Linked DNA regions of Saccharomyces cerevisiae S288C. The main gene of each other region encodes a partner of the protein of the gene in region 2 in a complex. Each region holds a gene or a part of one and is shown on either strand. Other genes may lie near its edges. A codon is read from its position in the direction of its gene.

Region 1 (3,413 bases), on a different chromosome or scaffold from region 2:
AGGGAAAGCAAGCTGTTGCGGCCTTGGGTAAGGGTAAGCCAGTGTTTGTGGAAGACACTGCGTTGAGATTTGACGAATTTAACGGTCTACCAGGTGCTTATATAAAATGGTTTTTAAAGAGCATGGGATTGGAAAAAATTGTGAAAATGTTGGAACCCTTTGAAAATAAAAACGCTGAAGCAGTTACCACCATTTGTTTTGCTGATTCTCGGGGTGAATATCACTTCTTTCAAGGTATTACAAGAGGCAAGATCGTTCCAAGCCGGGGACCCACTACATTCGGCTGGGATTCAATTTTTGAACCTTTTGATAGTCATGGACTGACTTACGCAGAGATGAGCAAAGACGCAAAGAATGCTATTTCTCATCGTGGTAAAGCCTTCGCTCAGTTTAAAGAGTACTTGTATCAAAATGACTTTTAGGTGATGTGCTGAGAAGATAAGAGGAATTATGGATAGATTTTTTTTTTTTTATTCTTACTTTATGTCGCCTCTATATTCAATTATATAAAGATGCCTGTATATTAGAGTTGGGATATTTTAACCAATAAGTTTAATAATTGGATGTGCTCGTTCGTTCCGTTGTTTAATCTGGAATCCGTAGTAAACAGCAACCAAGATATTTGATTTTTGAAGTTCGTATCAAAGTTATCGTTGGTGATGTAATATTCATGTAGTTGGTTAACTACTGACGCAGCAGACCAACCGCTTTTCATAAACGTATTGACGTATTTCTTAATCTCATCAAAATCACCACTTTTGACTTTTTCAACAATTTCTATTAGAATGTCATGAGGTACCACACCAGCTAATTCTTCCACTTGGGTAGAAGTTATGTTTTTACCATCACCCAAGTATTGCGCCCCCTTGGAAGCGGATTGTAATAATGTAATGCCTCTTCTCAAGTCACCTGCCGAAATGTCCAAGATCCTTTCCAAAACTCCATCATCACATTTAACATTTTCTTGTTCGCTGATAAACCTCAAACGGTCAATGGCATTACTTGCGTCTAGGGCTTTGAATCTAAATTTGGAACAACGGGACGCTAGCGGGTCAATAATTCTTGTCACATAATTACAAATCAAACAGAATCTTGTTACTCCTGAATAGGTTTCCATTGTTCTACGTAATGCACTCTGTGCATCGGCAGTCATTGAATCGGCCTCATCGAGAATAATGATCTTATACGGTGGGCACGGATAGTTCTCCAAGTCATGTTTGCTAGGCTTGGATACAGTCAATCTTGCAAAATTTTTTACCTTTTCTCTTACAATAGAGATACCACGTTCGTCAGAAGCGTTCAACTCCAATATTCTTGATTTCATCAAGTCGGGTCCATATAATTCTTTTGTTAGCGCTAAAATGGTAGACGTTTTACCAGTTCCTGGGGGACCATAAAACAACATATGTGGTAGATTAGCTGACTTTAAGGTTTTCTTCAAAACAGTAACGGCATGATCTTGAGCTGTCACTTCATCTAGGTTTTTGGGCCTGTATTTCTCAACCCAGGGTTGTTGTGCCAATGATTGCTCTGCGGCTAACTTTGATATCTTACGCTTTTTATTTGGACCAAACCCTTCAAACATCTCAAGTGATTGCCAATACTTTCCCCCAGTATTTCTCGCTGTCTCTCTATTTTACTTCTCTTATAGCATTGACTTGTTCGCTTGAGTTACTTCCTGATTGCTTTGAAATACGCGAAGTAAAAGAGTGAAAAATAACGATGAGAAAGGTTTTTGATAGAAGAGAACAAAAAAGGAACAGTGTTACAATAGTATATAGAGATGTCGAATACTTGGGACGATGTATGGGCATCAGACAGTGATGTCGAAACTGAACGATCTCCAGATTTAGTGAAGTTAAGAGAGAATCATAGCAAGAGGGGGTACTTGGACGGAATAGTGAGTTCTAAAGAAGAAAAGCTGCAAGAGGGTTTCAATGATGGTTTCCCAACGGGCGCTAAATTAGGGAAACAAGTTGGCATAATTATGGGGATTTTACTTGGCCTACGAACACGTTTTGGTGATGAAGATGAGGACCTCAGTAAGGCATATATTGATGCTCAAAAAGAATTACGCATTAACAAAGTACTTAGTAAGTCCATATTTGATCCAAACTTTGACTTGCAAGAAAAACATCCGCTCATAACAAAATGGACTGATATTGCCAATACCTATTGTGAAAAGTACCATGTGCCATCTATCCAATAAAGTTGTTTTAAATGGAGTTGATTTCACAATTTATGTACCTTATATCATCCTTCATTTCACATAATGACGAGATATTACAAAAATAATGATAATAATAATAATAATACACAATACTTGCACACGTATACAAATGCGTAATACAAAAAAAATAAATAGTAAACAAAGCACGAAATGAAAAATGACACCGCAGTCACCAGAATGGGCACCATCCAATATAATGTTGACATAACCTTTCAATAGAAGTGGCTTGTTGGATCAGTTTATCAACCTGCTCAGGGACGTCTAATTCATTGAACCTCTTGATATCATTGCCCGTTAATTTATCTGTAATACGTCTCAAAACAAGCATTGCTCTGGCGTTTTTGGTCTCATTTTGTTGTTCTGCTTCCATATTTGCCGCTTCTTCGACAGTAATTGCCCCCTTCCTTAATAATTCACTAGGATTAATCAACGGCAAAGGAATTCCAGTTTGCTCAGTAAGTTTTTGTGGCGGTAAATCAAATCCCCAATGGATCAAAGGATCAAGCGCAAAAGCTTCCAAGATCGCCATTAATGATTCTTTATTATCTCTTAAGACTCTCATGACATTTTCACAAGTAATTCGGAAACTGCCTTCAATTCCACTAACTTCCATTGCGTATGTTAACATCCTAGTTAGTCTAAATGGCACTTTTTCTGGATACTTTTCTCTTAAGATGGCAGCTTCAAAACAATCGCCGAAATCAATGTGGATAACTTTACCGGTGATTCTATCTAGCATCAGGTTGCTTGGATGGCGATCACCTAGTCCCAGAATATAACCAGTCATGGACATAACTGCTAAAGATCTCGTATAAGTTGTTCTACGTTCTAGCCATGTCTCTGACGACCTACTCTTTAACCATAATATTTTATAAAGGTCTTGGCCTTTTGTATTATCTAAAGCGTACGTGAATACTTCAATTTTTTGTAAAAGAGTCAAATTCTCATAATCGGGGGCCATTTGTAACATAACCCAATGTTCAATGTTCAACGGAATTTTTTTGGCATCACGGTGTTCTCTGATCAAAACGTGGAATGTGTCACTATTTGGTACCCATCCTAGTAAACCAGATTTAGGCGACAATGGAATAGCCGGGTATTGTTGGATATCCAAATGTCTCTTGAAACACTCTGAATCATTCTTCAACAAAGTGTTAACTAGACCAAATAATTGCATAACAAG
Region 2 (3,287 bases):
ACTACTCACTACAACGATACCCTATTAAAACAATAAATTGTATAAATAAATAATATTGCAAATATAAATAAATACCCATCGATTCTGATCTTCTTTTATGTACTAGTAGGGTAACGAGTTTGTAGATTAGCGGCAGAATGAAAAGAAAAAAGTTAACTAAAAAGTAAGAACAGCAAAGTTGATTGTAGTCTATATTGCTGAAATAGATATCGGAGCTCCCGTATAATATTAAAGTGCACCAAGAAAAGGATGTCGTTCTTTTTAAATAGTCTAAGGGGCAACCAGGAGGTCTCGCAAGAGAAGCTAGACGTTGCAGGAGTGCAATTCGATGCGATGTGCTCGACTTTCAACAATATTCTCAGTACGTGTCTTGAGAAATGTATTCCGCATGAGGGCTTTGGTGAGCCTGATCTAACGAAAGGTGAGCAATGCTGCATAGACAGATGTGTGGCAAAGATGCATTACAGCAATCGCCTCATTGGAGGATTTGTACAAACACGAGGTTTCGGGCCAGAGAATCAGCTACGACATTATTCGCGATTTGTGGCCAAAGAAATAGCTGATGATTCCAAAAAATAGCTGTAAATATGAGGACTGTCTGTGCTGTTTGTATATAATAGTAACCTGCATATATAGCATTATAAGCTGTGTAGACAATTTTAGAAGTACATTTATATGGTACCCGCACCTGGGTCACGTGCATTCCCCTCACCCGTTTTTTTAGGTGGTGTCTTTTTTGTTTTTTTTTTTAGGTGGCGCGGCAACTATAAAGTACAGCAAGTGAGGTTGAGGCAATACTGGGAGTTTACACTATGGGAGACAGCTCCTAACACCAAGCAGAAAAACGACTTTTTCGCAAAGTATGTAAGGCGCTGGGTGAGCCCAGCGGACGAGGATGGGCTTAATAAGAACGTACAGTTTAGCACAGCTAGAACAGGATACAGCTAAGGGCAACTCTGCTTTTCGGGAGAAGTTAAAGAGGGGTAGACAATGATGGTAATCTTATAAACCGGCTACAATGAAGGTTGTAGCAGCAAGGAAGATGATATTTTAATACGGTTCAGGTGAAATGAAATAGCCGCCCATAACGGCATGCTCAAGTTGTAAGTCAGGACTCTAGCTTTCTACTGTAGTATCCTCTAAAGGACTGCTGTTCTGTGCACCCCCTTCCTTTGTTTATCATAGCGCACGACAAGAGTACTAACTAATTAACTTAGAACATTAACATATATAAAACTAGCGCTATGGCCGCAACTAAAGAAGCAAAGCAACCAAAGGAACCAAAGAAGAGGACCACCAGGAGAAAGAAGGATCCTAACGCCCCTAAGAGGGGCTTGTCAGCTTATATGTTCTTTGCTAATGAAAACAGAGACATTGTCCGTTCCGAGAATCCTGACGTAACTTTTGGCCAAGTAGGCAGAATATTGGGTGAGAGGTGGAAGGCCTTAACTGCTGAAGAAAAGCAACCCTATGAATCTAAGGCTCAAGCAGACAAGAAGAGATACGAATCTGAAAAGGAATTGTACAATGCTACACGTGCTTGATCTAACAACTCAATGTTCTCTACCTCCCATACAACGTACTTTTGAAACTTCAGAAAGAAGTTGAGTAGGTTGCATTATGTGTTATTATTATTACTATTATCATTATTTTACTTATATATCCTTCTTTTCTTTTATGTATTCTCTTCCTTTTTCGCACAACTTATGCTGATTCTTCAATATCTAATTATTTAGCATTTTTCTTCTCCATCCGACGCACCAAAACGCGAAACGCGTAACTTTTTTTTTTTGGATTTCAACTGATAGTTTTCGTACTTTGCTTCCTCTGGTACATAAAATTATATATAAGAAACACTTTTGCTTTAGCCTTCCTTTCTTTCCACTTGCACCTTTCACTTTCGCCGTCCTTTTTCACTCACAGCAACAAGCAGCAAGCACTAAGTACGCAGTCAAAAGAGAGAAAAAATGTTAGAAGCAAAATTTGAAGAAGCATCCCTTTTCAAGAGAATAATTGATGGTTTCAAAGATTGTGTCCAGTTGGTCAATTTCCAATGTAAAGAAGATGGTATCATTGCACAAGCTGTCGATGACTCAAGAGTTCTATTGGTCTCCTTGGAAATAGGTGTCGAAGCCTTCCAAGAATATAGATGTGACCATCCTGTTACGTTAGGTATGGATCTAACCTCACTAAGTAAAATCCTACGTTGTGGTAACAACACCGATACATTAACACTAATTGCTGACAACACACCGGATTCCATCATCTTATTATTTGAGGATACCAAGAAAGACCGTATAGCCGAATACTCTCTGAAATTGATGGATATCGATGCTGATTTCTTAAAGATTGAAGAATTACAGTACGACTCCACCCTGTCATTGCCATCTTCCGAATTCTCTAAAATTGTTCGTGACTTGTCCCAATTGAGTGATTCTATTAATATCATGATCACCAAAGAAACAATAAAGTTTGTAGCTGACGGTGATATCGGATCAGGTTCAGTCATAATAAAACCATTCGTGGATATGGAACATCCTGAAACAAGCATCAAACTTGAAATGGATCAACCTGTCGACTTGACGTTCGGAGCTAAATATTTATTGGACATCATTAAGGGCTCCTCCCTTTCTGATAGAGTTGGTATCAGGCTCTCCAGCGAAGCTCCTGCTTTATTCCAATTTGATTTGAAGAGTGGGTTCCTACAGTTTTTCTTGGCTCCTAAATTTAATGACGAAGAATAAATGTAAATTATCTATATAGTTGTATACTAAAAATAATAAACAAAAAAAAAACAGTAAAGTTTGTTTTAAATGAAAATAAATAACAAAGAAAATAAAGACTAAGATGCGTTAAATATCAGCTTTTTGTGTGACTTATACAGTATTTATGACATATCTTACATTAATCTAGACAGCACATAACTTTTGCTATGAACCCTTCCAAATGGAATATTGCTTTGTTTCCAAGTGATAATCTTTCGTCAAAAACACTTGAGTATTCAATTATGGACGATTTATTCGTGGTATTCAGGGTTTCCACATCCAACAAAGAAAACGTTAGTTCCTTTAAGATGATATTGGCAGGTATACAATGAGCTAGTAAATCGTATAGGACAGCTCTGCATTCGATTAAAGAATTGACAGATCTCTCTTTAACGATTTTCCTCGTTAATTTATGGATCACTATAATCCAATCTGGTTTTATTATAGGGCTACTGCTTTTCAATGCTAATTCGTTGTTCAGTGCCATAGATTCAAGCATTAATAGGGAGACTCGCAAGTTTC
Region 3 (3,073 bases), on a different chromosome or scaffold from region 2:
AATCTGATGGACAATTTCCTTATTTGTATGCGAGTTTTCGAAAATGGACAGTAAATTTTCTATTATACTATCAACTGCTTTGTTTGTTAACGAAAATATAAGTATTTCTTCAGGCTTAATATTCTCCACAGTAATTAAATGTAGTACTTTATATAGTAGCGTTAGCGTTTTTCCTGAGCCTGGGCCCGCAATGACTTTTATCGTAGACGCTGGTTCATATGACTTATTTATTACCTTCCATTGAGATGGAGTTAGCTTGTCCATCTGTCTTCAACGAACGACGTATACCTTCTCTATATTTTTTCTACATATTATGACTATGTAACTGCACTGCGAGTTGTAAGTTTTGATCAACAAACAACTTTAAAGCTTAAATTGTGCAAAAATGAAAAAAAAAAAAAAATTCTGACACATCACAAGGGAAGAGACAAGACAAAGAAGTAGAATTTAAAGTAATGCACTAATATGGGAGTTTTTTTTATAGTTTTCGGATATTTAAATCAGGCTTTATTATTTAGTTTATGAATTTTCGCTAACATACTAGCCAGTTGCAAGTACGTTCCAACACCCTCCAGAATTCTCATATGGGTCAAACCGATTTCTTTTATCATTTCCAATCTTACTGATTCTTTCACTTGTGCTAAGTTTTTGGTAACGCGGAAAGATGTTGTGACGATATCAATCGAGGAATAACCCTTTTTCCAAAGATCTGTTCTTAAGATTTGAATTGAATCTTCTAGGTTGGAGGCTAGTAACATTTTCTTCACTATTAGAGGGTGAGGAGAATCAACAATTTTGAAGACATTGTCTGCGTTCACTAAACCGTGTCCTGCTACTGTACTTTGTAGATTGTTTATGGCCTGTCTCATGTCACCCTCCGCTGTAAAAATGATTGCTTCTAACCCATCATTTGTATACTTAACATCCTCTAGCTTTATGATTTGTAAAAGACGTTTTAGAACGTCTTCATCGGATAGTTTAGAATACCTCAAAATCGCACATCTACTTTGCAGCGGCTCAATGATCTTGTTTGATTGATTACAAGCAAATGCAAACCTTGTAGAGTTCGAATATAGCTCCATGGTCCTTCTCAACGCTTGCTGAGCACCAGCAGTCATGGAATCCGCCTCATCAAGAATAACGATTTTATGTTTCCCTGGAGGCAAATGTAGTTTCTTCTGGGCAAAATGTTTTATTTGGTTTCTGACGACATCAATACCTCTGTCATCTGAAGCGTTCAACTCTAAAACACCGTCAGCATAAGAGCGGCCAAGGAGCTCGTGAGCAAGGCAATGTACCGAAGTGGTCTTACCTATACCTGGCATACCTGATATGATCATATGGGGCATGTTACCATCTTTAGCGATTTGCTGAAGTCTATCAATGGTCTCTTTATTACCGACTATATCAGATAAAACTTGGGGACGGTATTTCTCAACCCATGGAAGTTGCAAAGATAAAGTTTTGGACATTATAAGGGACTTTTTATATCTTCTGGGAAGCTCTGCAATGTTATAATAGATCCAATCAGATTTATAAATGCTACTATTTTACAGTATTTAAAATATGTGGTTGGTTTTCCCACCTTTTTGTCAAGAAAAAACGCGTTTAATCTAACAGTGTGATGTGGTAATGAAAAATTTTCATTGTCTTTAAGAGAGATGGTGATGTTTAATATAGCGTAAAGCTTTCAAGGTAAATAATTAAGTGTCAATCTGCAGGCAAAACAACATGTCCAATGATGAGATAAACCAGAACGAGGAAAAGGTGAAAAGAACACCACCTTTACCGCCTGTGCCAGAAGGCATGTCTAAAAAGCAATGGAAAAAAATGTGTAAAAGACAGAGATGGGAGGAGAATAAAGCCAAATACAATGCGGAACGCCGTGTAAAGAAGAAGAGACTTCGCCATGAAAGAAGTGCGAAGATTCAAGAATACATTGACAGGGGAGAAGAGGTCCCGCAGGAATTGATTAGAGAGCCTCGTATCAATGTGAATCAGACTGATTCTGGGATAGAGATCATACTTGACTGTTCTTTTGATGAGTTAATGAACGACAAGGAAATAGTAAGCTTGTCTAACCAGGTCACCAGGGCATACTCCGCGAATAGAAGGGCGAACCATTTTGCAGAAATAAAGGTGGCCCCATTCGACAAAAGACTAAAGCAAAGGTTTGAAACTACTCTGAAAAATACCAATTATGAAAACTGGAACCATTTTAAATTCCTACCAGACGACAAAATCATGTTTGGAGATGAGCATATAAGTAAGGACAAAATAGTGTATTTAACGGCCGATACAGAGGAAAAGCTGGAGAAGCTGGAACCCGGGATGCGATACATTGTTGGCGGCATTGTAGACAAGAATCGTTATAAAGAATTGTGTCTGAAGAAGGCCCAAAAGATGGGCATTCCTACGCGAAGATTGCCCATTGACGAGTACATCAATCTCGAAGGCAGAAGAGTGTTGACGACAACGCACGTCGTGCAACTCATGCTGAAATACTTTGATGACCATAACTGGAAAAATGCCTTTGAAAGCGTTTTACCACCCAGAAAGCTGGATGCGGAAGCAAAATCCGCAAGCTCTTCGCCAGCTCCAAAGGACACATAGGCAGCCATCACTGTAGTATTATTAGTAACTGAATAGCAAAATAGTAATAGTCTCCGTAGCTACAATAGGTGTATATTGATGTCAGAGATACGGGTTAAACATGCGCAACTGGTAGTAGTTCTTCAAAGGGTGTTTATGCTTATCATAGTACTTGGACATTAGCCGCCGAAACTGGCTCCACTCGAAATCTAAATGGCATTCCCTTTTTAATATTAACAACACCAATCTTAGTGTCCGAGAGGTCCAAATCTAATGTAGGGCCGTGGGAGGATACTTCTTATTTCTCTTTGCTTATTTTGCTTTGATGTTGTATGTGTTTTACCTGTAAATTCTCTAATATGGTCATTTTTGCTCTTAATGACTCTTTTATTTTTACCCGGATTGCAATTTTTCACATATCGTCTTTTTATTCACTACGTACTTTAATCGTCTTCGCGATGATATGTACTGCTAACGAAAG
Region 4 (3,266 bases), on a different chromosome or scaffold from region 2:
AAGAGTTAAGGACAAGCTTATCAATCCCATTACCATGTAGGCCTATTGACCTTATATATGTTTTCCTATCGCTATATGGAAGCTACCATTCCTTTTATTCTCCATAATAACGCCAAAATCTGCCCACAGCCTTGTAGCCTCATTTGGCTCCCGACATTTCGAGTCGCTTTTGCGTCGCATGCCTCCGCGAAAAATTTCGCGCCGGACGCGATTTTTAACACGAAATTCTTGTTCGTGCCGCTGTTGCCCTTTTGGGAAATATTTCCCGATCTGGCATTCGCAGAACACTAGAGCCAGAGTTCTGCCATTCTTTACGTCCAAGAGGTTAAAGTACAGATCACGTAACGGAATGCTACTTTCTGTAACAATTTGGCGATTCGCATTCTCAGTTGTTAGCTAGACGCCAATTGATTTACGGTTTCCGGTATGCAAATTGAAAATGCTTTCATCTATTTCTTTTATTTTTTTTATTTCGTTCTGGGCGTTGTGTTATGTTGTTATATTGCACAATGCAGTTGTTCTGTACATATTGTATCTATACATATTTGCGTCGATTATACGTTGGCTTTAACAGTTTCGTTCTCGAAGCTGGCCTTGATGGCGCCAATGACCGCGCTGCCCTGAATCTGGTCGTTGCCACCCTTGGATATCGAGTACTCTATATCGGCCAGTTTGGTAAGCAAATGCACTCTTGTTTCCTCATTTTGAAGTTCGTAGTCTTCCAGTATCTTCACTATGCCCTCGATTAGGTCGATCAACGCGAGACCCTTGGCACTGCGTACCTTATTAAGTGTGTAGTGGGCGGTACCCCAATCGTCCTCCAGTATCGACTTCAATACTGCCTTTAAGTCACTTGGTCTGGGTGCCCCACAGCATTCATAGATAACGTCGTCACTGATCTCATCCTCGTCGGGATTGTCTAAAGTAGCTTTGCAAGACTGCAAAACGTTTAACACACGTCTCATATCCCCATTAGAAAGTTCTATTAAGGCCTTCTCCGCATTAGGAGACAACTTCAGCTTCTCATGCACCAAGACGTTGGCTATCCGACGCTCAATGGCCTCTTGGGGCAAGGGCTGAAATCTGAATCTCGTGCACCTACTCAATAACGCAGGTGTAAGTTTATGCGCATAATTGGCCAATACACAGAACCGCGTATTCTTGGTGTACCGTTCTATAACTCTTCTCAACGCATTTTGTGCGGCATTGGTCATGGCATCTGCTTCATCCAGTATAATTAACTTGAACCCTTTAGAGAAGATTTGTCTTGTAGAGGCAAAGTCTTTAATTTGATTCCTCACCACATCAATACCTCTGTCATCGGATGCATTCAGCTCCAAAACCATGTTCGAGTAATTCTTACCATATATCTCACGTGCCAAAGCAACAATTGTAGAAGTTTTACCGGTACCTGGAGGCCCATAGAATAGAAGATGTGGCAATTTACCTTCATCTACAAATTTACGAACTGTGGTGATCACCTCATTTTGTCCGTACACTTCGTCCAACGTTTCGGGTCTGTATTTTTCAACCCATGGAAGGTTTTCTTTGCTCCTCTTCTCTGTACTTGTCGACATTCTTGTATGTCGGGCCTGTTCCTACACCTTTTATAAAATTATTCAAGCTTTGAAAAGATATTTATCCTGTGCTCTTTATAGCTTCTTTCCATTTCTTTCAAAATCGCGTACTGACCAAAAAAAAAAAAGATCAAAATTGAGAAGCCATACATAATATAATAATGATATAGTTTCGCTGCCATCGGACCGCAATAGTAACTCTACAAGTAAACGTGTTGTTTTCTCAAGAACAGGTTACTGAAACTGAGCCATTGGTTGCGGAAAATTTCCCTAATAATTTCGACCGGCTGACGTACCGTTTTGGCTATTTCTCAAATACTTGACTGGCTTAACTGCCATACTGAATTGCAGTAAAACCCGTAACACTACAATTTCTGTCCAGCGGCAGTATTATTTCTAAGGATGATAGTGTGGCAAGCACTATTCGTGGTTTACTGCCTATTTACCACTTCTATTCACGGTTTATTCCAAGACTTCAATCCTTTCGCAAATAAGAATATTTCCTTAAAGTTTCCCAGCCTAAATAGATGGGAGAAAAACGTTATGGCTACTGGTCAACAAACAATCATCAATTCGGATAGCATTTATGAATGGACCCCGATCTTATCTAACATAACAGCGGGCAAAAAAGACAGTTTTGTATTTACCATTGACGCAGAAGCCTCCGGTTATGGGTTTGCTCCCACGTATGAAGTGTTAATGTTTATTAGCGGCAATATATGCCAAATGCCCATGAATAGATCAGATGTGGATTTAACAATATACTACTCTTTTAATGAAACGGTTTTAGAGAACCCAAATATAGGTCAAAGTGCAGTTTTTCAGGATGGCTACATCCAAGCATTAGCCATCAGTCCAGTGCAGTCTTCTAGCTCGAACGCTACCTCCACGTATTCAAATCTTTATGTGGTCGCTGAGCTAGTGAATTCCACTACGGAGCAACCTCTGTCCAGTTCCGACGCCTCTGAAAATTGGGAATATAGACTGAGTATCTCTGAGAACGATTTGGTTTTTCAGTGGGATGTAAGGCCTTGGGTAGAGGTCCTGGACACTGATATGAATTCTGCATTACTATCAACGGGGAATGTCACCGCAGACGCCAAAGTTTATCACAATTATTCAATATATGATCCATCCTTGTACGATCTGTATGTTTACTCGTACGAAGATTCTGTTCAACTAAACCAAAACTATAATTTATCTCTTTGTGCTGTGAAAAATGGACCATATTTAGTGTCTTCCCAAAATACATCAAATGCAACAGTTACGTCAAATAGTACAAATCCTTTAGAGCGTACTGACTTGGCGATTCAAAAAAAAATTACAGAATATGGTGGTAGCGTGACAGAAATGTTTTACGTGACAGGACTGAATGCCTCAACAACTTATGTAGCGTACCTGACAAAGAAAATCAGTAATGGTGATGGGTTGTCAAGTGTGGGCGGCATTTTATTTTCACATGTTTATTTTACCACAAGAAGTACCGATGTCTGCTCTTTGATCTTTGGTTTGGACTTCTGCAGTGACGTCGCTTACTCTGTTCCTACATCCTCATTTTCTGTGGGTAATAAAACTCTCATGGCGCAGACATATGACCACATTGCAGAGGCACTATATGCAAATTTTAGCAAAGCTCTACAGTTAATATCCTGTGACGCAGACAAAGACGCAAGATATTCTCCGGTCATG

Evidence for each region.
Region 1: the proteins of POL30 (region 2) and RFC2 are in contact, whole or in part, in a cryo-EM structure (PDB 7TI8), measured with the Saccharomyces cerevisiae proteins. Residues at the interface, in NP_009645.1 of Saccharomyces cerevisiae: Leu25 (codon at 2,040), Asp93 (codon at 2,244), Thr95 (codon at 2,250), Pro96 (codon at 2,253), Asp97 (codon at 2,256), Lys117 (codon at 2,316), Leu118 (codon at 2,319), Met119 (codon at 2,322), Asp120 (codon at 2,325); in NP_012602.3 of Saccharomyces cerevisiae: Asn112 (codon at 1,252), Arg115 (codon at 1,243), Leu116 (codon at 1,240), Thr117 (codon at 1,237), Val118 (codon at 1,234), Ser119 (codon at 1,231), Lys120 (codon at 1,228), Val163 (codon at 1,099).
Region 3: the proteins of POL30 (region 2) and RFC4 are in contact, whole or in part, in a crystal structure (PDB 1SXJ), measured with the Saccharomyces cerevisiae proteins. Residues at the interface, in NP_009645.1 of Saccharomyces cerevisiae: Leu25 (codon at 2,040), Asp71 (codon at 2,178), Ser74 (codon at 2,187), Thr95 (codon at 2,250), Pro96 (codon at 2,253), Asp97 (codon at 2,256), Lys117 (codon at 2,316), Leu118 (codon at 2,319), Met119 (codon at 2,322), Asp120 (codon at 2,325); in NP_014547.1 of Saccharomyces cerevisiae: His95 (codon at 1,190), Gln98 (codon at 1,181), Lys99 (codon at 1,178), Lys100 (codon at 1,175), Leu101 (codon at 1,172), His102 (codon at 1,169).
Region 4: the proteins of POL30 (region 2) and RFC3 are in contact, whole or in part, in a crystal structure (PDB 1SXJ), measured with the Saccharomyces cerevisiae proteins. Residues at the interface, in NP_009645.1 of Saccharomyces cerevisiae: Val40 (codon at 2,085), Asp42 (codon at 2,091), Ser43 (codon at 2,094), Arg44 (codon at 2,097), Val45 (codon at 2,100), Leu46 (codon at 2,103), Phe125 (codon at 2,340), Lys127 (codon at 2,346), Glu129 (codon at 2,352), Lys210 (codon at 2,595), Tyr211 (codon at 2,598), Glu232 (codon at 2,661), Pro234 (codon at 2,667), Ala251 (codon at 2,718), Pro252 (codon at 2,721), Lys253 (codon at 2,724), Phe254 (codon at 2,727), Asn255 (codon at 2,730); in NP_014109.1 of Saccharomyces cerevisiae: Lys73 (codon at 1,361), Asn74 (codon at 1,358), Ser76 (codon at 1,352), Asn77 (codon at 1,349), Asn95 (codon at 1,295), Gln96 (codon at 1,292), Asp99 (codon at 1,283), Phe100 (codon at 1,280), Ala101 (codon at 1,277), Ser102 (codon at 1,274), Thr103 (codon at 1,271), Arg104 (codon at 1,268), Gln105 (codon at 1,265), Ile106 (codon at 1,262), Phe107 (codon at 1,259), Lys109 (codon at 1,253), Lys112 (codon at 1,244), Asn140 (codon at 1,160).

The regions. Positions count from the first base shown.
Region 1 is NC_001142.9:565,815-569,227, reverse strand, and holds RFC2 (replication factor C subunit 2), read right to left. Parts: upstream 1,586-3,413; coding exon 524-1,585; downstream 1-523. Other genes in the region: nucleoside triphosphate pyrophosphohydrolase HAM1, read left to right, coding at 1-422; YAE1 (Yae1p), read left to right, coding at 1,784-2,209; phosphatidylinositol kinase-related protein kinase TOR1, read right to left, coding at 2,400-3,413. UniProt on the Saccharomyces cerevisiae protein: Component of ATP-dependent clamp loader (RFC and RFC-like) complexes for DNA clamps, such as the POL30/PCNA homotrimer and the checkpoint clamp DDC1:MEC3:RAD17 complex.
Region 2 is NC_001134.8:424,447-427,733, reverse strand, and holds POL30 (proliferating cell nuclear antigen), read left to right. Parts: upstream 1-1,967; coding exon 1,968-2,744; downstream 2,745-3,287. Other genes in the region: acid phosphatase PHO3, read left to right, coding at 1-36; TIM12 (Tim12p), read left to right, coding at 250-579; YBR090C (uncharacterized protein), read left to right, coding at 676-860, 1,218-1,401; NHP6B (high-mobility group nucleosome-binding protein), read left to right, coding at 1,245-1,544; RFC5 (replication factor C subunit 5), read right to left, coding at 2,905-3,287. UniProt on the Saccharomyces cerevisiae protein: This protein is an auxiliary protein of DNA polymerase delta and is involved in the control of eukaryotic DNA replication by increasing the polymerase's processibility during elongation of the leading strand. Involved in DNA repair.
Region 3 is NC_001147.6:141,084-144,156, forward strand, and holds RFC4 (replication factor C subunit 4), read right to left. Parts: upstream 1,473-3,073; coding exon 501-1,472; downstream 1-500. Other genes in the region: HMI1 (ATP-dependent 3'-5' DNA helicase), read right to left, coding at 1-264; TRM10 (tRNA (guanine(9)-N(1))-methyltransferase), read left to right, coding at 1,732-2,613. UniProt on the Saccharomyces cerevisiae protein: Component of ATP-dependent clamp loader (RFC and RFC-like) complexes for DNA clamps, such as the POL30/PCNA homotrimer and the checkpoint clamp DDC1:MEC3:RAD17 complex.
Region 4 is NC_001146.8:84,529-87,794, reverse strand, and holds RFC3 (replication factor C subunit 3), read right to left. Parts: upstream 1,578-3,266; coding exon 555-1,577; downstream 1-554. Other genes in the region: MID1 (Mid1p), read left to right, coding at 1,980-3,266. UniProt on the Saccharomyces cerevisiae protein: Component of ATP-dependent clamp loader (RFC and RFC-like) complexes for DNA clamps, such as the POL30/PCNA homotrimer and the checkpoint clamp DDC1:MEC3:RAD17 complex.